3 linked regions of the Drosophila melanogaster genome follow. The protein of the gene in region 1 interacts with the protein of each later gene in a pairwise test. Each region holds a gene or a part of one and is shown on either strand. Other genes may lie near its edges.

Evidence for each region.
Region 2: the proteins of CG8773 (region 1) and Ugt49B1 interact in a two-hybrid assay, tested with the Drosophila melanogaster proteins (one large-scale study listed by BioGRID).
Region 3: the proteins of CG8773 (region 1) and Osi9 interact in a two-hybrid assay, tested with the Drosophila melanogaster proteins (one large-scale study listed by BioGRID).

The regions. Positions count from the first base shown.
Region 1 is NT_033777.3:13,292,816-13,303,000, forward strand, and holds CG8773 (uncharacterized protein), read left to right. Parts: upstream 1-1,932; 5' UTR 1,933-1,974; coding exon 1,975-3,283; intron 3,284-3,354; coding exon 3,355-3,452; intron 3,453-3,511; coding exon 3,512-3,829; intron 3,830-3,893; coding exon 3,894-4,012; intron 4,013-4,077; coding exon 4,078-4,163; intron 4,164-4,242; coding exon 4,243-4,648; intron 4,649-4,706; coding exon 4,707-5,355; 3' UTR 5,356-5,473; downstream 5,474-10,185. Other genes in the region: wntD (wnt inhibitor of dorsal), read right to left, coding at 1-323; CG8774 (uncharacterized protein), read left to right, coding at 6,199-6,387, 6,446-6,801, 6,936-7,080, 7,135-7,668, 7,731-8,659, 8,741-9,416.
Region 2 is NT_033778.4:21,211,215-21,218,677, reverse strand, and holds Ugt49B1 (UDP-glycosyltransferase family 49 member B1), read left to right. Parts: upstream 1-3,705; 5' UTR 3,706-3,772; coding exon 3,773-3,775; intron 3,776-3,992; coding exon 3,993-4,251; intron 4,252-4,306; coding exon 4,307-4,972; intron 4,973-5,039; coding exon 5,040-5,710; 3' UTR 5,711-5,798; downstream 5,799-7,463. Other genes in the region: Ugt49C1 (UDP-glycosyltransferase family 49 member C1), read left to right, coding at 1,339-1,441, 1,504-1,662, 1,711-2,172, 2,229-2,707, 2,770-3,159; CG44245 (uncharacterized protein), read right to left, coding at 6,065-6,132, 6,200-7,454.
Region 3 is NT_033777.3:6,256,314-6,263,770, forward strand, and holds Osi9 (osiris 9), read left to right. Parts: upstream 1-3,897; 5' UTR 3,898-4,099; coding exon 4,100-4,234; intron 4,235-4,296; coding exon 4,297-4,552; intron 4,553-5,025; coding exon 5,026-5,336; 3' UTR 5,337-5,792; downstream 5,793-7,457. Other genes in the region: Osi8 (osiris 8), read left to right, coding at 1-79.

The DNA.
Region 1 (10,185 bases):
GCGATTACTCCATTGGCACAGTCCTTGGTCAGAGTATGGACTATGGCTGCCATGGAAATGGCCGCCACATAGACATCCTCCCGATTTGGTGAGTTTTCCTCCGGCTTGGAATTCTTCTGCACGAAATCCTGGCTCGGACAGTTCCATCGCTGCCACTGGAAACTCTGTTGGCAGCTGTCGAGGGCCTGTTTCAGCCCCTTGCCGGTTATATCCTCCCAGGAGAGTGGTGCCTGGAACTGGGTGTACTGGTAGTAGCTCATGGGCTCCAAAACTGCTGCCAGAGTGCTCGTAATACCCATGAAGAATGTGATGGCAAAAATCATGTTGTCTGTTTATATTGTTGTTATGGTGCTATCTCTGCGATGTCGTTAGATCGACTGAATGATGATGAACCGGGTCAGCACACTTATATAGCCTGCAAATCCCAAGCCAGGGCGCCCTCCTGGGGCCGGCCCGTGGGAATTTCGGGCCTGCTCAAAAAACCGGAAATTTGCCGTTTTCCACTTGGAAATTTTGCATGGGCAGGGGGTAGGAACTCCCGGCAATGGACGGGTACAAAAACCCACTGGCAGCCCGAGACGCAATTGCGGAGCAGCCCAGTTTCCTGGTTGACTACCTGCTCTCGTCCTGCGCCGGCGGAGGTGAAGGATCCGCCTTGCTGCGAGCAAGTTTCCCACGCTTAGGCAGGTAGAGCCGTAAACGGCACCCGACGTGCTCATGAATGAAGCCCAGTCGAGTCCATTCAATACGGCCGGATTTTCCCGGACTCACACTGCACAACATCAATGCCCGATACGGGGACGGGTTTGTTTGGGTTTTGGACTGGTCAAGCCAATTATATAACAAAACATATGACCAACAGTATATACACGTATAATCTGGGAAATTAATTGTCCTTTGTGGTGAGCCGGCGGGAACTGCCAGTATTGTTGCTATATTATTTAAAAGTTAATACCCAGGATTATGGTGTTAAGCACCATTAGGAACAGATATCCAGATATTGGTAACGGATTTTTTTGGGATTTTTTTCAGATGAAAATTTGTGCATGCCTAAAAACAATACCTCAGAAATGATAAGAGTTAAGCAATATTAGCTACAGCATTTAATTATAGTACTCGAAAATAAAAGGTAAACACTTATATTCAGTTTCATTTGACCATGAATATAATCTCTTTAAAATAATGGCTTGTTGTCACTTCAAAGATAATGCAATTAGTAAAAGTTAAACATCTGATTATTGACCATCAAAAATGCGATACAAAGGGCTTATAATCATCAAGTGGCCATACTTGTGTTGTAAATACATCTATAATATTTTTTATGGGAAACTTCCCCTTTACAGAACACATCTCACAAAGCCAAAGTCATTATAAAGTACTTCAGTTCCAGGCGTTGCGAAAACGTGTGCGGAAATTTCGATGTTTGGGTTTTAACACAATGAAAATACCGATTCTCTAATTAGGTCGAAAGTCCTGTCTGCGTAGCACCGGAAAAGGGTTTTTTAGGACCTAAGCGCCGGGTAAAACAGAAACAGAGAAGGATAGCGGGATCACGTAGGATCGCAGGTAGTAAAAAAATTGCTCAATTGGTGTTCGTGAGCCTGAGTACAATCACACATATGGGCCTTGACACTGGAAGTTCCTCGGGGCTCAGCAACCAGCTTGGAATTCCGACTTGACGAGGAAAAACGCGCCAGATCTTTGGCATTTCTAAGTTTAATCAAAGCGCCATGACAGGGTCCATAAATTCGGGCGATTGTCAGCCGCACCGGCACTCGTTCCCTACATATGTTCCGGCTAATACCCAAAAAGCAGCTCATCGACTCGCGATTAGATTAGCAATCTGCAAACGCAGTCAGTCAATTAAGATATAGGGGCCCACTTGAGATTCCCCCACTACATAACCTGTCGCTATTTTACCAAGGAGAACGCTTAGTTGCGCTTTGGACTCCGCTCGTGCCGGATTAACGTGCTATGATTGTCACCGCGAAGTTGGTGGCCATTGGGCTGGGCCTCGCGCTCACGGCCTTCACCGTATCGACCATTGTCCTGGCCGTCCAGAAGGCGAATCTTAAGAGTGATTTGCGCGATGCCCAGGAGAAGTTGGATCTCCTGGAAGCGGGATATACGAGCACAGCTGCTCCGACAACAGCGAGTACTGCGAATCCTGGAAGCACAGCTTCTCCAGGAAGCACAGCTGAGCCGGGAAGCACAGCTGAACCCGGAAGCACAGCTGAGCCCGGAAGCACAGCTTCTCCAGGAAGCACTGTGACACCTGGTTCCACTGCTTCAACAAGTGAACCCGGCACTACTGCATCCCCCGAAAAAATCGACTACCGACTGCCCGGAACTCTGAAGCCCACCCACTATGATCTCTATCTGTTTCCCAACATCGAAACTGGTGAATTCAGTGGACAGGAGACGATTACTATTACAGTTGAAGAGGCCACCGACCAGATCGTCCTGCACTCCCTCAACCTAAACATTTCGAGTGTATCCATAATGAATACTGGCAGTGATACTTTGGAGATCCTGGAGACAACAGTAGATGCTGTGAGGGAATTTTTAATATTCCAGCTGAACGAACCACTGACAAAAGGTAGGACAGTAAGGCTGCACATTGGATTCGAAGGATCGATGGCCAACAAGATTGTGGGACTGTACAGTTCGTCGTATGTGAAGGAGGATGAGACCCGCAAGTGGATCGCCACCTCCAAGTTCGAACCCACCTACGCTCGCCAGGCTTTTCCCTGCTTTGATGAGCCAGCATTGAAGGCCGAGTTCACCATTACTCTAGTGCATCCTTCTGGGGAGGATTACCATGCCCTGTCCAACATGAACGTGGACTCGAGTGTCAGCCAGGGAGCCTTCCAGGAGGTCACGTTTGCAAAAAGTGTTCCCATGAGCACTTACTTGGCCTGCTTTATTGTCTCCGACTTCGCCTACAAGCAGGTGAGCATTGACACTAAGGGCATTGGAGAAACCTTCTCCATGAGTGTCTACGCCACTCCGGAGCAACTCGACAAAGTGGATCTGGCTGTGACCATTGGCAAGGGAGTCATCGAGTACTACATTGACTACTTCCAAATCGCTTATCCGCTGCCCAAACTCGATATGGCTGCTATTCCCGACTTCGTCTCGGGCGCCATGGAGCACTGGGGATTGGTCACCTACAGGGAAACATCGCTTTTGTACGACGAAGCCACGAGTTCCGCCACCAACAAGCAGCGCATCGCCAGCGTAATTGCCCACGAATTCGCTCACATGTGGTTTGGAAACTTGGGTAAGCTAAATGGCGGTTTGCATAGATCGGAATTCGTATTCTTAACCGTAACTCCAATTATCTTCCATAAGTAACCATGAACTGGTGGAACGATCTGTGGCTAAACGAAGGATTTGCTAGTTTCGTTGAGTACTTGGGCGTAGATGCCGTCTATCCAGAATGGAAAATGGCAAGTGCACCTAGGTTAATTAAGGTTACATCCAACTTATTTACATATCATATCAATAGCGCGATCAATTCACGGTGAGCACTTTGCACAGCGTACTCACCTTGGACGGAACCCTCGGATCCCACCCGATAATCCAGACCGTGGAAAATCCGGACCAGATCACGGAGATTTTCGATACCATCACGTACTCCAAGGGTTCCTCTCTCGTCCGAATGCTGGAGGATTTCCTGGGGGAGACAACCTTCCGCCAGGCGGTTACCAATTATTTAAATGAGTACAAGTACTCCACGGCGGAAACGGGTAACTTCTTTACAGAGATCGACAAACTGGAATTGGGATACAATGTCACAGAGATTATGCTAACATGGACGGTGCAGGTAAACACATAGACGTTTACTTCTAAGTTCGCGAATATTTCAACACCCCATTCCTTTTTTGCAGATGGGTCTGCCAGTGGTCACGATCGAAAAGGTGTCCGATACGGAATACAAATTGACGCAGAAGCGCTTCTTGTCCAATCCAAACGACTATGACGCCGATCACGAGCCCTCGGAATTCAAGTGAGTGTGCAGAACTTATTGCCTGGACGCTATCTGATCGCGAATTTCGCACATACATTATATAGCTACCGTTGGTCGATCCCCATCACATATTTCACCAGCTCGGATTCGGTGGTGCAGCGTCTGTGGTTTTATCATGACCAGAGCGAAAGTAAGTGGTGTCGTCTGTATGCTGGAGCACGGCTCCCCAGATCTTTGATCTCTAACTTGTTATATATTTTGTTTGACAGTCACTGTAACTGTTCCCGCTGCCGTCGAGTGGATTAAGTTTAACGCCGATCAGGTGGGCTATTATCGCGTTAATTACGATACCGATCTGTGGAATGATCTGGCCGATCAGTTGGTGGTACAACCAAGTGCATTCGGCTCTGTGGATCGCGCTCATCTCCTCAACGATGCTTTTGCCCTGGCCGATTCCACTCAGTTGCCCTATGCAACGGCCTTCGAGTTGACCAGATACTTGGACAAGGAGACCGATTATGTTCCCTGGAGTGTGGCTGCTTCCCGTCTGACTTCGCTTAAGAGAACACTCTACTACACCAGCACCTATGCCAAGTACAAGAAGTACGCCACAGCTTTGATTGAGCCCATCTATACCGCACTCACCTGGACAGTCGGCGAGGATCATTTGGATAAGTGGGTAGATTCTTTAAGAGATGTGTGTATTTTTTATATCATTCCCCTGCATCTCTAGCCGCCTTCGTGTCACTGCTTTGAGTGCCGCCTGTTCTCTGGGTCTGGAATCCTGTCTCACTGAAGCCGGAGAGCAGTTCAACGCATGGCTGGCCAAGCCGGAGGATCGTCCAAAGGCCGATGTCCGTGAAACTGTCTACTACTACGGAATACAGTCCGTTGGAAGCCAGGAGGATTGGGATGCAGTCTGGGAGCTGTTCGTCAACGAATCCGATGCCAGCGAGAAGTCCAAACTGATGTATGGCCTGTCTGCCATCCAGATTCCCTGGATTTTGCAGCGCTACATTGACCTGGCGTGGAACGAGGAATACGTGAGGGGTCAGGACTACTTCACCTGCCTTACCTACATCTCTGCGAATCCAGTTGGTGAGTCCCTGGTTTGGGACTATGTCCGGGAGAACTGGCAGCGACTGGTGGACCGATTCGGACTCAACGAGCGTTATTTGGGCAACCTGATTCCCTCGATCACTGCCCGCTTTAGCACCCAAACCAAGCTGGAGGAGATGGAGCAATTCTTCGCCAAATATCCGGAAGCTGGAGCCGGCACAGCTGCCCGGGTGAGAGCTCTGGAAACGGTTAAGAACAACATTGTTTGGCTGGCCGAGAACCTGGAGGGTGTGGACGCCTGGCTGGACAAGCAGCCACTGTAAAAAGTCCAAGGAAGTGGTCTTGCGACCATGGTTACCATTAAACATGTACTCATCTAATTGCCATTATAAAGCAAAAATTTGCCGAACAAGTGGAAATAAAGATAAGCTTAGTTATTGGAAAAACTGAAATTACACCTCCATAAATAAGCAATTATCCATTGGACTGATTGGTAACATGGGTTGATAATCAAGTTTGGGTGGGTGCCACTATTGGACACGAAAACTTTTGATTGACATTTATTGCACGTCCAAATTTTCGCACTAAATTTGACATCCAATGGAAATTTACTTCATATATGATAAACCCCCATTAATTGATTGAAATATAATTTTATAGTTTTATTGTTACGCCTTTTAAATTATCTAAAGTCATTTAAAACTAAAATATTTACCAAATTGAGCAATATACGCAGACTTTTAATCTTTAATAGTTCTATTAAGCAATGAATATGTAAAATAAAAATCTTTTTTCTATTTTTCTCAGTGATGTGGAGAGAATCTAATTAATATGGCTAATTACCAATAGCACAGATTTGCGTTAGGGAAAGAGTAAAAGTGGCTTAAATGATGTTATTAAACCCATAGCACAATTATGGTGTCATAAGCCACGCGAATTCATACCCTACCGCTCCGTATTTTCCCACTTTCTCTGGCTTTAACCCTATCGCCCATTTGACCGTAATCGCGTCAATTTGGCCAATCACTATCGCAATCGCCGAAGCGAACATAAACCATTTCCAGTGCACACACTATCAACTAATCGAATATTGGGCAACAAGTGGTAAGAGTTGGTTCGAATGACCTAACGCTAGTTAGTCGCTCGCGACAGGTGCGATTGCTAAGATGTTCCTCAGTGGCTATTGGTTGCAGGTGGTGCTCTCCTGGGCGGTGGTGGCCTTTGCCACGGCCACGGTTGTGGTGGCGGTGCAGAAGGCTCAGCTGGAAAGGGACCTCCGCGATGTGCAGGACAAGATCGATGTGTTCGAGGAGTGGAGCGGAGAGAGCCGCACTCGCATGAAGCGTGAAGATACGGTGTGTAATCACTTGCTAATCAGTTGAATCCATTTACTACCATAATCTAACCCTGAAGACGGATTACCGCCTGCCCACGAATCTGGTGCCCACGCACTACGAGCTCTACTGGCATCCGGATCTGGAGACAGGAAACTTCACCGGACAACAGAGGATCAGCATCAAGGTGGTGGAGGCCACTAATCAGATTATTCTGCACTCATATCTCCTGGATATCACAAGTGTCTATGTGCTGAATAGAGAGGTGGAAAAGTTTGAGCTTGAGGAGGAACGTCAGTTCCTGATCATAACTTTGACGGAAGAGCTGGCGGTGGACGCCAGCATTACTCTCGGAATCATTTTTGGTGGACAGATGAAGGATAAGCTTGTGGGTCTCTACAGCAGTACATATCTAAACGAGGCAGGAGCTACCAGGTATTTCGGATATTTTTACGTTATGCCCAAAAGTATGCAATGTGTTCTTATGACCAGATCTGGATTTGTTGTTTTGTTTTGAATTTTTATTTGAATACTTTTTCAATATATAAATTAATATTTTCCTTATGCAGAACCATTTCTACGACGAAATTCGAACCCACTTACGCGCGTCAGGCCTTCCCATGCTTCGATGAACCAGCCATGAAGGCCACATTCGCCATTACAGTGGTTCATCCATCGGGATCCTACCACGCCGTTTCCAACATGCAACAAACGGTGAGCTCAAGTAAACAAACAATTTAAATGGGTTAAACAAAATTTAAATAATAGGAATCCAATTATCTGGGTGACTATACTGAGGCCATCTTCGAGACGAGTGTGTCGATGAGCACCTACCTGGTATGCATCATTGTGTCCGACTTCGCTTCCCAATCGACCACGGTGAAGGCCAACGGAATTGGCGAGGACTTCTCCATGCAAGCCTATGCCACCTCGCATCAGATCAACAAGGTCGAGTTTGCTCTGGAGTTCGGACAAGCTGTCACGGAGTACTATATTCAGTACTATAAGGTGCCCTATCCGCTGACCAAACTGGACATGGCCGCCATTCCCGACTTTGCATCTGGGGCCATGGAGCACTGGGGATTGGTGACTTACAGAGAGACCGCTCTGCTGTACGATCCCAGTTACAGTTCCACAGCGAACAAACAATCGATAGCCGGAACACTGGCCCATGAGATTGCACACCAGTGGTTCGGAAACCTGGTCACCATGAAGTGGTGGAACGATCTGTGGCTGAACGAGGGATTCGCCCGCTACATGCAGTACAAGGGAGTCAATGCTGTGCACCCGGACTGGGGAATGGTAAGGAAATGGATAATACCGATTTGAATCCTCAAAGAAAATATCTTATATTTACCAATCAGCTGGAGCAATTCCAAATCGTGGCCCTGCAACCCGTGTTGTTATACGATGCCAAGCTATCATCCCATCCGATTGTCCAGAAGGTAGAAAGCCCCGATGAAATTACGGCCATATTCGACACCATCAGTTACGAAAAGGGAGGATCCGTGATCCGCATGCTGGAGACACTTGTGGGCGCCGAAAAGTTTGAGGAGGCGGTGACCAATTACCTGGTCAAGCATCAGTTCAATAACACGGTGACCGACGATTTCCTCACCGAAGTCGAAGCTGTGGTAACTGACTTGGATATCAAGAAACTGATGCTCACCTGGACCGAACAGATGGGTTATCCGGTGTTGAATGTCTCCAAGGTTGCAGATGGTAGTTTTAAGGTTACCCAGCAGCGATTCCTCTCCAATCCAGCCAGTTACGAGGAAGCCCCTTCAGATAGCGCATACGGATACAAATGGAGTGTTCCGATTACCTGGTTTGCTGATGATGGTTCAGAGAACAGCTTCATATACGACTACGATGTGGACTCTGTGGGTATTGCCGTGCCCAGCGAGGTGCAGTGGATCAAGTTGAATGTCAACCAAACGGGCTACTATCGGGTTAACTACGAGGAGAGCCTGTGGGCCCTGCTCATCCAGCAGCTAACCACCAGTCCCGCTCGATTCGAAATCGCCGATCGTGGCCATCTTTTGAACGATGCCTTCGCCCTGGCGGATGCCAACCAACTATCCTACAAAATTCCTCTGGATATGACCGCTTACTTGGCCCAGGAGCGCGACTTCGTGCCCTGGTATGTGGCCTCCAATAAGCTGAGGTCGCTCCATCGCAGTCTCATGTTCAGCGAGGGATACGTGTCGTACCTCACCTATGCCAGAAGTCTGATCGCTGGCGTATACGAGGAGGTGGGTTGGACTGTGGACGCCGACAATCACTTGAAGAAGTACGTATATAAGTACCAACTTGTTTTTCTGAAAACATTACTCAAACTACTGTTATTCAAACAATCTTTATTCCTTTGCAGCCGCCTGCGTGTTTCCATTTTGACCGCCGCCTGTGCCCTGGGTGTTCCAGATTGTCTGCAGCAGGCTTCCGAGCGCTTCAGCACCTTCCTGGAGAATCCGACCACTCGACCTTCCCCCGATCTTCGCGAGATTGTCTACTACTACGGCATGCAGCAGTCCACCAGCCAATCGAGCTGGGATCAGTTGTTCCAACTCTTTGTGGCCGAAACCGATGCCAGCGAGAAACTGAAGCTGATGTACGGATTGTCTGGCGTACGGAACAGCCAGTATCTGTTCGACTTCCTGGCACAGGCCTCCAGTGATGAGAGCATCGTTCGCTCCCAGGACTATTTCACCTGTGTGCAGTACATAGCCGCCAATCCTGTGGGTGAACCGGTGGTCTGGGAATTCTACCGCGAACAGTGGCCCCAACTCACCACCCGTTTTGGCCTGAACAACCGCAACTTTGGACGACTTATCGCCCAGATTACGGCCAACTTTGCCAGCTCCGTGAAACTGGAGGAGGTTCAGCACTTCTTCTCCAAGTACCCCGAATCGGGAGCTGGAGCTAACTCCCGGTTGGAGGCCGTGGAAACCATCAAGTACAACATCGAATGGCTATCCAGAAACGAAGCTGACATCACCGACTGGCTAAGTGGAACGGCCTCGCCGCTGACCAAGAAAAACCAATTGTAAAATTGTATATTGTATATAAACTGGCCATTTAGCCAATAATTAGAGTTGCATAAGCGAAAATTCCGTTCGAGTTCAATAAAATGAAATTTCAAAATCAAACCATAAATACAACCCCCATATTTTCATTCATTTTATCCGAGGCAAGTGGGGATTTCTATAGCTTCTAGGAAATAATTGGAGATAGGGTCTTTGAGTATATGGTCAATGCGGAATCATGACCATGCGTAATTATCCTGAGTAATTAGAGTGTCCAGTCATAATAGTCGATATATGGCCTTGTTCGAATCGTAAAAGTAATGGTCTAGCATAAAACGATTTTATCTGGACACGAAGCTATATAGTATATAGTCTAGATATCGGTCAGCAATCTGATCAGGTTTATCAAGTCCAAATTGTGGGGTCAGATTCGCAACTTGCATTCAGTTTCCAATTTGGCTTCCAGCCTAGTGGAAGCAGTCGAGTAATTTTCATCGAAAAAAGAATATCCCTAAAAATGGTTGCCTGTGAGTCTTCTATATAGAGTAGCATATCCCGAAGGAACAGTAACTAATGTGAACTCATTTTAGGGCTGACGGTTAAGTCAGTGGCCATCTTTTTGGGCCTGGCCTCTACTGCTTTTTGTGTGGCCACGATTGTGCTGGCCGTTCAGAATGCGGACCTGGAGAACGATCTGCAGGATGCCCTCGATAAGATCGACGCATTGACGGTGGACACCACGTCCACGTCCTCCACCTCTACCAGCACTTCCACGACCACCACCACTGCAAAT
Region 2 (7,463 bases), on another chromosome or scaffold:
ACCGACTGCAGCTTCCGCTTGAGTCATTTATCCCGACGACTGCCCTCAATTAGCCAGGCTTTCGCACAAAGTTCAGCACAGCAAAACACACATATCAGCCGCATATCAGCCACATACCACCACATACTACCCACGAGCATATCGCCGCCCACCACCCCCTGCATACGTACAACAGCAAATTGAATTTCACTTAAGCTCCTTAGCTTTAAGGCCTAGACTAATAACTCATATCAGCCGCCCGCTCGCCACAAAAACTTCACCTTCAAGTCGCTGCAGAAAAAGTTCTGATTGCAATTTGCAGCCAGGAAAATGGAAAATTGAAAATTAGAAATTTAAAATTTAAAATTTCTCAAAGGCCGCACACACACACACACTCTGTGTGTGTGTGTTTCATCAACGGATAGCTGAAGGAGCTGAAGTTTGTTAATTGCATATATCAAGTTAGTACTTAAACTTTAATTGAACTCGAACAAAGTTCACGCTAATCGAAAGGCAACATTTTAACACTTATAACAAAACTCGCAAACGCACACACACACACACACACATACACAAGCAGAATACATAACGAATCGAATGTGATTTTTGTATAAAGACGAGAATAATTTAAACAATTTGTATCGAATATGAAAATGTAAATTACATTAGGCGTGGAGATTCGTTGACAAGTAATCGCATTATAGGCTAAATGTTATAATTTAACTTAATCTAATTACATATAATATACCGATTGCTTAATACCTAGCATTTAAGGACCAAACAACACACACATTGACATGCAAATACGTTTGAAAGATGAAAATAAAACGATTAAGAAAGCTTAAATTGCTACGTGCTTTTGACTTTTATTATACTACTCGGAAATATATTGGGTTTTCTCGGAACCCCGAGCTCGAGTTCAGTATTCATTCGGAGGTTCAATAGTTGGCTTCGCCTTCGCCATCTCATCGGTAGGCAAGTGGAAAGCTTTTCGAGCACGCGATCATCAATTAAATTGACTCTTTATATCAGCAACCCTATTAAAAGTAAACAATTTGTATTTCACAAATGCTTGAAATCTTTATGGAACATAGATTAGCTGCTGATGACCAGCATTTTTTATTTTCATTTATTCATTTGATAATTTTGTTTCTGTAATAAAGTCAAACTTGTTTACAAAACAAGAACTTTGCGCACCTTTAATCTATCTTTTGATATTAAGCTACAAACTTCAGAATCTCAAACTTACAAAATCTATTAACAGATTATTACGGACAAACAAAAGAAGTCAAGCCAGTATTAAACAAAAACAAAATCAATATTTGGCAAAAAATAAGAATTATAGTATAGCTGCTCAGTATGCAGTTTCCATTATTATTTGGCCTCCTTCTGACTGGAACATTATATTCCCAGTTGGAATTGGCCGAAGGATCAAAAATCCTGGCTGTGTATGCCTTTCCGGGTAAAGTATTTTAAGATATGTACAAAGCCAACTTATGGCTTATGTTGTGGAAAATATTTTAGGAAAATCACATTTTATGATGCACACTGCTTTGATAAGGGAACTTGTCGAAAGTGGTCATCAGGTGACCATGGTAACAGCTTTTAGTCTGGAGAAAGAGCAACTTGGCAGCAACTACACGGAGATCTTGATAGAACCGGTCTACGATTTCTGGCACGATGGTGAGTGGAGCTTGATTTAATGATCATCATATTTACGTTTGGAACCAGTTAAGCTGAACTTTGGAGCCCAACACCTATTCGAGCTGACCCGCATGACCAACTATGATTTCCTCAAAATGCTGGAGATTATCGGCCTCAAGACCACCGAACATGCCCTGCGGCAGCCCAAGGTTCGGTCTCTCATTCATGCCGAGCAAAAGGAAGGAGTCTTCGATCTTCTCCTGGCCGAGCAGTTCTATCAGGAGGCCTTCTTGGCACTGGCTCATCTGTACAAAATACCCGTGGTGACCACGAGCACTTTGGGCTATGAGAATCACATGAGTCAGATGATGGGTCTGATTACACCTTGGTCCTTTGTACCACACGGTTTTATGCCCTTCACCGATCGCATGAGTTTCCTGGAGAGGGTGAAGAACTCCTATGCATCCTTCTACGAAGACATGGACAGGCTGCTAAACTATTTTCCGAAAATGGATGCGGTGGCCAGGGAGTTCTTTGGACCCGTACTGAGTGAGTTACGGTAATGGTTTATCTGAGAACATACACCTGAGTACAGTGTTTTCCAGCCGAGGTGCCCAAGGTCAAGCACATGGAGCGTCAAATCTCAGTGATGCTACTAAACAGTCACGCACCGCTGACCACGGCACGTCCCACAGTGGACGCCATGGTGCCAGTGGGCGGGATGCACATCTATCCACCCAAACCGCTGCCGGCTGACATGCAAGCCCTCTTGGATGGCGCCACCGAGGGGGCCATCTTCTTCAGCCTGGGCAGCAATGTCCAGAGCAAGGACATGCCCGTGGAAATGCTGCGATTGTTCCTGCAGGTATTCGGTTCGCTCAAGCAGCGGGTATTGTGGAAATTCGAGGATGAGAGCATTAGCCAATTGCCAGATAACGTGATGGTCAGGAAGTGGCTGCCACAGGCCGACATTCTGGCCCATCGTCATGTGAAGGTATTCATTACCCACGGTGGCTTATTTGGCACCCAGGAGGGAGTGCATTATGCTGTGCCCATGCTGGGTATACCCTTCTACTGTGATCAGGTATTTGTATATTTCACTAATTATATAAATAACTGCTTCTATAGGAATATATTATGTTGCAGCACCTTAATATGAACAAAGCGGTTTTGGGCGGATATGCCATTAGTCTGCACTTCCAATCGATTACCGAGGAAATCCTGCGGCACTCCTTGGACCAACTTATCCATAATGTGACCTACAAAGAGAACGTTCAGAGGGTATCGGATATTTTCCGCGATCGTCCGCTGGAGCCGCGAAAAAGTGCCGTCTATTGGATCGAATATGTCATCCGGCATCGAGGTGCTTCACATATGAGATCCGCAGGCCTGGATCTCAACTGGTTCCAATTCTATTTGCTGGATGTCATAGCATTTGTGGCTATCATTGCTTTAGCTGGCGTCATGGCTCTCTCATTGGCCATTCGATTACTGATGGGCAGTAATAAGAAACACAGGAAAGCTAAGCAAAATTAAAGTATTTTAAGGGTTTATTTAAACAAATTACTTTAAAAATGTTTGAGAAATACAATATCTTCAATAAAATCTTAATATATTAGTATATGTTTCTGTCTATATCTTCTATTTCGCATCGAAAAGTCAAACGATTTACTAGTTTCGTTGAAAAGTATCTAACAGGTAGAAAAAACGATATTATCTGATAGTCGAGGATTGTCTCTCTTGCTAATGATATGGATAAAGATAGTTTGAAAACTTACGTACCTAGACAACCAGCAAATAGATTACCCAAAACAACGAATACGACCTTAAGAAAGAATAACTTTCTATTATCCGCAAGAAATCTAACGTTTCCATGATGATAAGGGATATTTTGTAGAGCACGCTGATGAAGTGCCCCGTTTTGATAATAAAGAGCTCTCTCGTTTTTTTCGCACGAACCTCACATTTGCTATTCTCTAGGGTTCTAAAAGCGTACATAAACATATACATAAACATTATATGTATATAAACATATAAAGCCGATCTACAGAGAGGCCCAAACGAAACGATCTATCTGAACGCATTCGCAGTCGTTCGAGAGCGGTCCACTGAGTCGGTTGCTGGTTGCTACTAGTGTCGTTTAATCAAAATGGTATGTTGATATGTTGTAAATAAGCTTTTGAAGCTCTCGTTTATGTATAAATTAAATTAAAGGAAAAGCTTTGAAATCGTAATAGACGCAAGTTCCGAAACTTAAACTAAAGTTACCTGTTATCGCCGAATACTATTTGAGTTCAAATGAAGGACTGTTTCATGCTGCATTTAAGCTTCAATTTAGATAATGATTATAAATATTTTGCATTTTACAGTCTTTGAAAAGTGCTCTGCACATATTTCTCCTAAGTCTGGTTGCTCTTCAGCAACTAGAGTTGGGTACCGGTTCCCGCATCTTGGCAGCATTCTTTTTTCCTGGCAAGAGTCACTTCATGATGACCAATGCCATCATACGGGAGCTGGTGAAGCAAGGACATGAGGTTACTTTTATTACTCCGTTTTCCTTGGCCAAGGAAAAACTTGGATCAAATTATAAGGAAATTGTGATTCCTCAATACGATTTTTGGCCAGAAAGTGAGTATGGTTGCTAATTGATAAAACATGTATTAACTTAATCACTTGCACATAGTTAAGGAGATGACCAATAAGAACACCGTTTTGGAAATGACAGATTTGCCAACTTTTGCATTCCTGCGAATGGTCAATGTGATGGGTATCCACACCACGGATTTCGCACTGGAACAACCGGAGATTCAGGCAGTAATCAATGAGAAGAACAAAATTGGCAAATACGATCTGCTGCTGGCGGAGCAGTTCTTCAACGAGGGTGCCCTCATCCTGGGACACTTGTACCAGATCCCAACCATAACTATTTCGACATTTGGTAATGCCAACCACCTTAGTCAGCTATTTGGGGTAGTGTCTCCTTGGTCATATGTACCACACGCTTATATGCCCTATACGGATCGCATGACTTTGTGGGAACGCATCGGCAATGTGGCCATGAGTGCAGCCGAGGATCTCGTCAGAGAGTTCTCCTACTACCCCGGTCAGGATGCGGTCTTAAAGAAGCACTTCTCCAAGCTACTCGACAGAGTACCGACCATCAAAGAACTCGAACGTAATATCTCAGCCATTCTGTTGAACAGCTACATGCCACTGGCATCTTCGAGACCGATGGCATATAATATGATCCCAGTGGGCGGTTTGCACATTCAACCACCGAAGGCACTACCGGAGCATCTACAAAAATTCCTGGACGGAGCCACACATGGTGCCATTTACTTTAGCTTGGGTGAGTGTCCTTAACCCTGCGACTTTAAATCTAAAAACACTAATGACTTCATCTATTTTTCGCATAGGTTCCCAGGTGAGAAGTGCCGACTTGCCGCCTGAGAAGCTCAAAGTATTCCTGGAAGTCTTTGGCAGTCTGAAGCAACGCGTTCTCTGGAAATTCGAAGATGAATCTCTGCCCAATTTGCCGGCTAACGTTAAGGTGCAAAGTTGGTTACCTCAGGGCGACATTCTGGCGCACCCGAATGTCAAGGTTTTCATTGCCCATGGAGGACTCTTCGGCACCCAGGAGGCGGTGTACAATGGTGTTCCCATATTGGGAATGCCAGTCTACTGTGATCAGCATCAGAACATTAACCAGGGTAAGAGTGCAGAATATGCACTGGGACTGGATTACCGGAAAGTCACGGTGGAGGAGTTGCGAGGTCTGCTGATGGAACTGATTGAGAATCCAAAGTATAGGAATAACATTAAGAAGGCCTCCCGGATATTCCGCGATCGACCACTCGGTGCCATGGATACGGCCATATATTGGATCAACTATGTGATCGAGCACCGAGGTGCTCCTCATCTGGTGGCCGCTGGTGTACATCTACCCTGGTACCAGTTCTACCTACTGGACATTGTGGGTCTAGGTCTCGCTGTGATCCTGTTGCCAATCGTAGTTCTAATCCTGATCTGCCGCAGGAGCTCCAAGCCGAAGAGCACTCCGACGAAGAAGAAGACCAAGAAGAATTAGAACCAAAACTTGAGTTTTATTTTGTTGTTAACAAAAGAGGCTACAATTATGTTAGATAGTTTCTTGTAATAAATTTTGGATAATTTCGTAATACATTTCTAGGGCACTAGACAGCTGGTAATTGATAACAAAGCTAACGAGTAGCGTGCAAAGACCGCCAGCAACTAACTGAACTGGATGCTGAAATAGGTCAGGAGAATTAGCTTGGGATCGGGATCTTCGCAGGGCCTTTCTTCTCTATTTTCCGGCCATTTCATAAGCTTGTTTTTTTTTTCGTGTGTATTCTTGTGCCTTGTGTGTTGTGTGAGTGTCGTGTGTGTTTGAGTGTGTTTCGGTGTGGGCAAGCGGCGATCTCTACTGGCTAATGACCATGGACTTCTTTACCTTCTTCTCCTTCCTCTCATGAGTGATGGTCACTTCCTCTGCGAAAAAAAAGAAAATGGGTTAATATAACCTAGCTGCGGATGAAGTGGACTGGCTTATCCTCACCCTCGAACTTGCTGGGCAGCTGCTTGACGGTCTCGATAGTCTTGACGTTCTTCTCGCCGGGCTCGATGATCTCCTCCTCGTACTCCTCGATAATCTCCTCCTCGTCGGTGTCATCGGGATTGGACTTCTGGCTGGGCACTGGATCGTAAACGGTCTTCACGGCCTTCTTCACGATGCCTTCGGATGTCACGGTGGTGTAGTGGTACTCGGTGCCACCTTCGATCTTAATGGTCTCCACGGTGGTCACATCTCCGGGATTTTCGGAAGGAACGATCTTCTTGGTACCCGACTCGGACTTGAGCTTCTTGGTGGTGGAGACGTTCTTGTGCTTCTCGGCGTCCTTCAGGGTCTTCTTGTACTGGCGGATCTCCTCCTCGGTGAGTTCCACCTCCTCCTCCTCGTAGACAGTCTTCGAGGTGGTGATGGTCTTGCCAGAATCCAGCTGCGTGGAATAGGTGTACTCCACACCGCCGGGCACACGCTTCGAGGCCACAGAGGTGGTATCGTTCTGGAAGAAATCAGCGGGTGGTGGTGGAGCCGATGACTTGGGCTTCTTCTTCTGCTTCTTGTCGCTGGACGAGGTGTTCGAGGTGGTAGTGATAGCCTTGACGTTCTGCTCCTGCAGCGAGTTCTTGCGCACGGTGCGATTGTTCTCGGTGATCTCGATGTTCTGAGTCACCGACACCCTGCGCTCTGATGTCGTGGTGGAGTTGGTCTGCTCATCATAGTTCTGCACCAGATTCTTCTGCTGCTTCTGGACGATGCGACGGGAGGATTCCGTGGAATCGGTAGAGTCCACCGACGACTTCCTGGTCACGTTCTTCTTGTTCTTGTTCAACTTGGCGGCCGTCTTCTCATCCACCTCGGTTGGAACGGAGTCGTAGAAGGTTTTGGTGCGAGAGCTGCGAGTTCCATCCTCGTTGATGGTGGTGTACACCTCCTCGTAGCCACCCTCGATGGCGCGGGTCAGCATGGTGGTGCGCTCATCGATGCGAATCTCCTTGCCCAGACGCTTCTGGACCAGCTTCTTGTTCTCCTGCTCCTTCTTCAGATCCTCCTCGCTAACGGGCTTGGGATCCCAGAAGGTTCGCACCTGGGTCTTGATGGTTCCATTGGGCTGCGGAGAGGTGGTGATCACCTCGTAGCCACCCTCGATCACCTTGTACGTGGTGGTGGCACCCGTGGCCTTGTCGAACTCCACCTTACCGTCTTCGATGTCCGCGGAGGTCAGTAGCTCTGTGGTGTGTGGATGCATGTGTGTATA
Region 3 (7,457 bases), 7.0 Mb from region 1:
GGGTCGGGAGCTGGACACCGCCTACAGCGGCTGGAAGCCGGCGGCCAAGGAGTCGGCGGGCAGCGCCAAGAGCCTGTGAGCTCGCATTTGCATTTGGAAACAGAAGTATCTCCTAGAAGGGAGATTCTCGGGAGATTATCGTGGAGAGTGAACCAAAGAATCGAGCGCCGCAAGAACTGTCTGACTAATGTCTAGTTTAATTCGCCTTATCGATCCTTAATTTAACGAACTAAATGTGTGTGTTAGGTTTAAGTAAGCCCTAATTAAATATAGTAAATTCTGCTACCCGAAATTCGCATGAAGATGAGTTTTTTATGGTTTCGTGGCCGCTCCCCAAACATGAATTTATGATGACAATTAAGTTTCATTGAAACGGGCTTACGTGCGTGCCAAAAATGGCTGACGAAGCTGCTTCGCTTTCTACCAAACTCAATGTCAGATGTACGATATAAGGTTGCAACAGCAGTTGATTTTCGATTGGATTTTATATGTAAGTATACCTAAAAAGAAATTAACTAAGTAAATATTAATAAATAAATGTACTTTTAAAGACTTATAACAATTTTCTTTAGACACTATTCTTCGCTTCTCTATTATTGGACAAATATGTTTTGTTTGCTAACATTGGTGAAAGATGATTAACATATTTGAATACGTAGTTTTCCACTTGGATTCCTTCAAATAATTTCCCTGTAAATTCCACAATGCAAAGTTGACTTAAACTGCACATGCAGTTTTCTGTTTTCTGTTGGCCTGCATTTGCTGAATGCAATATTCATAGATAGAAAATTGCGCGCCACTTTCCTGGCTTCTTGGCTCATATGTTTTCCCTCCCTGTCCATTGTTGTGGCTACCTTTTTTGGTATGCGACAATTTCACTTTTGGGCCACTACACGAAATATTAATGAGCTGCTGCCGCTCAGTGTAGAACATTGAACCTGGCCAACGACGTTCCCAAGCCCCTCGCTCACTTATTCAGTTTGTTAGTTGTGGGCGCCCTTTGCTGGCGCACCACTGACGTCATGGGGGGACTTTCATTAATTGAAAATTACCCAAGCGCACCAGAGGCAGAGGCATGTAAACAGCGCCGGGCTGCAAACTAGAGCCGGAGCTGAGCTGGGCTGAACGGAGCTGCCTTAACCCGGAATTCCATTCCAGCCAAGCGGAATGAAAGTGAAACTTTGAAAAGGTGTCAATTTTGGAGATGCCACTGAAAAGGTTTGGGGCGGCTAAGCGGGTGGGGCCGCAATTGAGGATTGTTTGCTTTGAATGTGCGATGCTTTAAGGCGGTTTTATCTCTAGAGCGAATATTTCGCATGCTTATTTGGGTCAGCCAGCGAAATGGCCAACTATGAACGAAGGAGCCATCAGAAGATAGCTTGCGAATTAATTGAGCGCACTCTATTGAAATGACTGGGCTAAACTGAAATATTAATACAACTAGTTGTATTAATATGAAATAAACTGCAATTACTAATACGTTTTAAGAGTATTTAAGAGCTTTTCTCCTCAATAAAACCATAACTTAAATTTTAATGTTGTTTCTATATTGCATCACTCAATGTTTAAAGTGGCGCAGTTGAAGTTGTATAAGATGTTAGCAATTAAATTACTTTTTCACTTTCGTTGCGCACGCACAATGCTAATAACTTGCATCATATTGACTCTTTAACACTCTAACTGGGACACAAAAGACGTACTTCACTGGGTTAAATATTTTGATAATTTTTATGTATATTATAAATATTAAGTGTGAAAGACAGAATAAACAATTTTTTCCATATTTCTCCAATTAGCTTGTGTGTAATAATGTAAGAAATAAACTATTAAATGGTTGTTTTCAGTCCGAAGCTTATGAAATATAAAAAAAATATATATTAAAGGTTTTCTATCAAAGATTTTTCATGTAAAGATAAATATTTAGAAGCATATTTATGCATATTATATCACGTTATTATTATCATTATAGATAAATCTAAAGGATGGACTGAATTTGAAAAGGGCCATTGCAGAAAGGGCATTAGATGAGACACATCACACATCGTGACAGTGGCTGGCATATCCAAATCCAAATCTACATCCACATCCATCCATATGTTCACGTGCACGGCATTTACATATTCCATCAACGGATTTTGGGCTCATGTTGCCGCTTTGGATAATCGTCTGCGAAATGTCGAGTGGCTTTGCATCTAGATGCGAGCTGTGTGTTTTGTGTCTGTGAGGTTGTTTTCGGCAGCATGCAAATTTGCGGCGTAGCTTTCTTTCGGGGCACTTGCTCGTCTAATGCGTGAATTACCGGCTAACGATGAGCGATGGACGCTGGACGATGGACGATGGACGATGGACGGCGGAGCGATGGGGCGGCAGGCAGACGTGTGGCAATTTTTGAGTGCTGCAAATTAAAGCGACATAATGCCAATGAAACTCTAGTGCGACAGTCGCTGTGCATCCGTCGACGGCGATCGGATTGGCATACAAAAGTGCAGATACATTATGCGAGATGCCCGCTGGGGGCACAAACAAACACATAAATAAAAAGCAAAATTAAAGTGAAATTTCCTCCACCGTGCCGCGGCAGCGCCAGCAAACTAGTTAATTTTCTATTTTACTCCAATTCGAGTTGCGGTTGCTTTCGACCATCGCCGGCCATCTTAAATGGCGCTCTTGATTAACCACCCACCGCCCACTCCCGCCGGACTACCACTCGTGTGTGTGTGTGTGCGGTCTGTGTGTAGGCAACTGCAATTTGAAATGAAACCGCTGCTGCCGGCACTTTCTGCTGCACTCGAGATTTACACAGTGCTGAAAGTGTGCCATCATCAGGTGGCGCCTCAAAGGTGCATCAAATACGTTAGCCACGTATTACAGCTTGTTACATTTTACCTGGGTCTGCTGTGTAATCAAATAGTCCAGAACTAAATAACAACTCACAGTCCTTCAACCAAATAAATATGCAAAAGATTTGTAAAAAGTGGAAATACAGGCAAGCGTCTAGTTGGGAAACAAGCGGCTTTCAAGAGCGTATTCTCCCTTTTGCAGTGAGTTAGAAACCTCACATGATTTCAAAGGTGTTGCAAACGTATTGTGTGCAAAAACACAACATAAAAGTAAATATGTAATGGAAAATTCTGTTTATTTTGAGCCTTTTAGCTAAGCTGATCCCAGTTGGAAGGGTTAATTAAATTGAATTTAAGCTGCCAGTTATAATAGCATATGCCGTATTCTAACTCTGCAGTGACCTGCAAAGAAAAATCGCTCCTTTTAAAATGTATTTTGAAAAGCTGGCTGACTTAATCCAGGTAAGGTACAGTTGCACCCTTGTTTACGAAAAGTATTGTTCTAAGCATTACCACATAGGATTAAGATTCTTATAATTCCAAATTTTATTCTTATAAATTTAATTCACAAAGCTTTCCCTTAAAGCGACACGTAATGCAAGAAAAATCAATATTTAAGGGCTGGCCGATCTGTCTATTGGCCCCCTGAACAATTGGCCTTCTCCTTGTGGCAGGCAAACAGCTAACTGCCGCCGAAGTGTGTTGACAAACAACAACTGCCAATCCGACGAACTCTGCCAGCGTAAACGGCGACCGCGCCACCGCGTCCACTTCGGCGCACCTGTCCAGTTGTCGCTGCAGCGCCTTGTATGGCCGGCCACCAAGACTGTGCGACTCCGAGTGCGACTTCGGCTGCAACCTGGCCAGGTTCGTGGTCGGGTTGTTTATTTAAATTCTAAGCTCGGCTACTGTGTGCGATGGGCCAAGCGGGGCAGTCGGGGGGCTCAGACCACTTGCGGAGCGCTAAAGCGTCAACGTTGTCGTTGTCGTCGCTGCTGGCCAACGCTGCCGCCGCTCTGCTGGCCGGGAATAAAACTCGATCCGCGTGCGTCTTCTAGCCACAGTTTACCGGTTGCCTTCTGACCGACAGATCGAACACGCCAATCGAGCGCAGTGCACTCAATCAAGTGAACACACACACACGCATCCCCGAATCGCCAGGAAGTGGCAGGATATCAAATCAGCGCAGCAGTGTCGAGTGTTTGTGCGAAGCATTCAAAAAAAAAATAATACAAAAAAGGAAATACCCATCACGAGCCATGTTCAAGTTCGTGTGCCTTTTTGCGCTGATTGCCTCCACGGCGGCGGCTACCTCGGAAGCGGACAGCTTGCTGACCAGCGCTTTGAAGATGGTCAAGGACTGTGGCGAACGGTCCATGGTCTTGTGCATGAAGGTAAAGCATTTAGTTGCCAGTAGCCCGAGAGAAACCTATCCTAATTCATGATCCACCCAAAGGAGCGAGCCCTGCACTACTTCGATGCCGAGAACGGGGATGTGCGGCTCACCGAGGGCATTGCCCTGGTCAAGACCGATGAGATCCCGGTGGGTCGATCCCTCAACGAGATGCAACTGCCCGAGGAGGTTGAGGCCCGGGAGGCCGAGGTGGACTCCCTGCTGGTGGAGCGCGTTGCCCGCTTCTTCGGCACCCACACGCTGCAGTTCAAGGTGCCCAAAGACTCCATCCAGGACATGCAGCGCGCCCTCGAGGAATGTGAGTATCTGGCTAGTACCCATCGAATCCCACATAAATTACAGTTCTGGTCTGGCCAAGACATTGCCTATTTGGGTTACTAATGCAAGCGACCAGTTCGGGCAGATGGCTCTGGCACAAATCCTGTTTTCACTGTTAAGTCTCCGCCATATCGAGGTCATCCTGTGATGCAGCCAGATGCCCACATAGGCACATGGCCACATGGCCACATAGCGGTGCATTGGCAGCTGGTTATCCAGATAGTTGGCTATTAATTGCACTTTAGTCAGGCAGTTAGCAAGGCTTACTTTCTTTTTGTGCGCAGCGGCTGCAATTTCCGATTTCCAATTTCTATGCGCAGCCACATAGAAAGCGGTCGATCCTGTTCGCTTGCTAATTATCTGTGCTCCAGTTGCTAATGAGCGGACAGCTCCGCTCCAGCGAAAGTAATGCAAATCATATAACTAACTACCAAATCGTTTCTCCCCCTGCAGCTCGCGGCAAGAAGAAGGAGAAGAAGAAGTACCTGATGCCCCTGCTAATGCTCTTCAAGCTGAAGATGGCCGCCCTGCTGCCCCTGGCCATTGGCTTCCTGGCCCTGATCTCCTTCAAGGCCCTGGTCATCGGCAAGATCGCCCTGCTGCTCTCCGGCATCATTGGGCTGAAGAAACTGCTCGAGTCGAAGAAGGAGAACTACGAGGTCGTTGCGCACCCGCACTACGAGCACGAGCACAGCTACGGCCGCTCGCTGCCATCTGATGACTCCCAGGCCCAGCAGCTGGCCTATGCGGCGTATAAGCAATAAGCTGCATGCCAAATATTCTGAATGCTGAATGCTGAGGCAACCGTAATCAGTGCAATACTCGGAGGGCCGTCTAATTTATCTATTTATTTAATTTATTTGTATAGCATAGTTCATGCCAGGCTTACACACTTAAGGCGCCATCAAGAGAAATAGAAGGAAAGGTAAATCCCGAACCCACACAAATAGGTCTAAGGAATCAGCAGCTAGGGACTGCCGCCAGAGGGGAACACCTGGCGTCGTTTAATCTATTCTTAAAAATGACTGCCACTGTCGTATTAATACTCAGAGCTTTATTATTTAAAACTCTACGCTTAACTTAACTTAACTCAACTGAACTCTTAACCAAACTATTAAACTAAACTGCCTAACTCTGAACTGCCGCTAGGCGCAGAAAAAGCCCCCCTGGCCAAGCCCTCCCCCACACAAAACAATAAAAGAAATGCCGCATTTATTCCGAACATGTGTATTGCTGTCTTACTGTTTCAATCGAATATCGCTCATACGCAGCGAATTGCTTTCACTCTTTCACCGGCTAAGGCGAACTAGGCCAGCAATATCAATTGCATGGGCGACACACAAAATCACGGAGCAAGATCGCCGGATTTCACTTGAGCCAGCTAGTCAGCCAGTCAGCCAGGCGTAAAGCGCAGCAGAAGCCTCTTCCTCGGTCTCGGTCAGTTATATATAAACACATATGTATATCCAATGTCGCTCCAGAAACTGGCTCACATCTCGGCATCTCGGGAAAATCTAATGAATGTTGCGACCTGCTTTTTTGTTTTTTTTTTTTTTTTTTCGCACACGCAGTGCAACACGTACGCCCCAAACAAATTAGGTGTGTGGATGAGAGCATGGATTCCAGTTCCAGCTGGGAGCACGCCCCGCGGCTGCAATTTATGGCCGTGGCCTGGCATCGCCATTCGGCATATAAATGGCCAAAGCCGACAAAACCCAAGGCTCAAAATGGCCAAAAGGCCAGGCCGCCGCCTCGTACGTCTTTTATTTTTTGTTGCTAACTATTTGTAAACAACTGCAGGCAACTGGCAGTGAATTTCAAGTATTGGCGGTGAAAGTGTTTATTAATACAATTTCTTTTCTGTCGCTGCGCTTTGCAATAGGAAATTTATTAGCTGTCGGCCATTGCCCGCGACCTGGCAATAAAAGAAAACAAACTTTTGTAAAATTACCAAAGTTTTCGGCGACAACCGCACAGGCTAAACCGTAATTCCAATGCCAAAAATCCTTAAAATTGGCCTCGAATGATCGAATAACTTGGGAGGAGTCTAAACTTCTCGAAACTTTATCTTCTCGCCTGTCTACTCAGTTTTGTCAGGGGAATTGGGGTGTTCTTGAGTTCGCCAAAGGTCTTGGGGTGCTAAGTTATCAGAGACTTTCATAGGGGGATATTCAAATTTCTCCCACAGCATTGACTAGGAAAATACTCACCTGTTTTTGCTGGTATTGCAGTCAAGTCTCTCTTGACGTGCTGGCATCACCAAACCAAAGTCTTAACTCTTACTGGCTTCGCCTAAAAGTTTGCTAGGACTTAACTCTCGAACTCAGGGGATTATTCCACTGATTTGTATGCCGTTTAGCTTCATTGTGAAACTGGTTATTATGGTAAAGGAAACGTACATCTTTGTTCTACAAGTAATAATGTAACGTTCTGAAACTTTTTCGATGTTTAAAAAATACATGTAAATAATATTAAAACGAGAATAGTTATGGAACTAAAAAATGTATCATTATAAACCTTTTTGGGTTCGGGTTTTCCTTAACACCCAAACCAAGTTGATTTCCCAAACGTAAATCGGTTTCCCTCCTTTCCGCTTGTTTGTTTTCTTAATTGACTTGTGGCAATTTTCAAGTTTTTCTCTGTAAACGATTGAACATTACTGGTAATTCCCTAAGCGACTCCGTTCATTTAATGGACCGGCATTAGCAATGGTAATTGTAAATATTCCGCGTGGTCCGAGCGGTGGCGCCTCCAAGTATTTCATAATTCCTGTGGAAATACAATAACTGCTTGCATAATGGGGGAGATGTGCGAAAAATTGGCCACCAGTCGCTGCAGCTTTGGGTCGTGTGCACTGACCATGACCATGCCGGCTTAAATAAGAA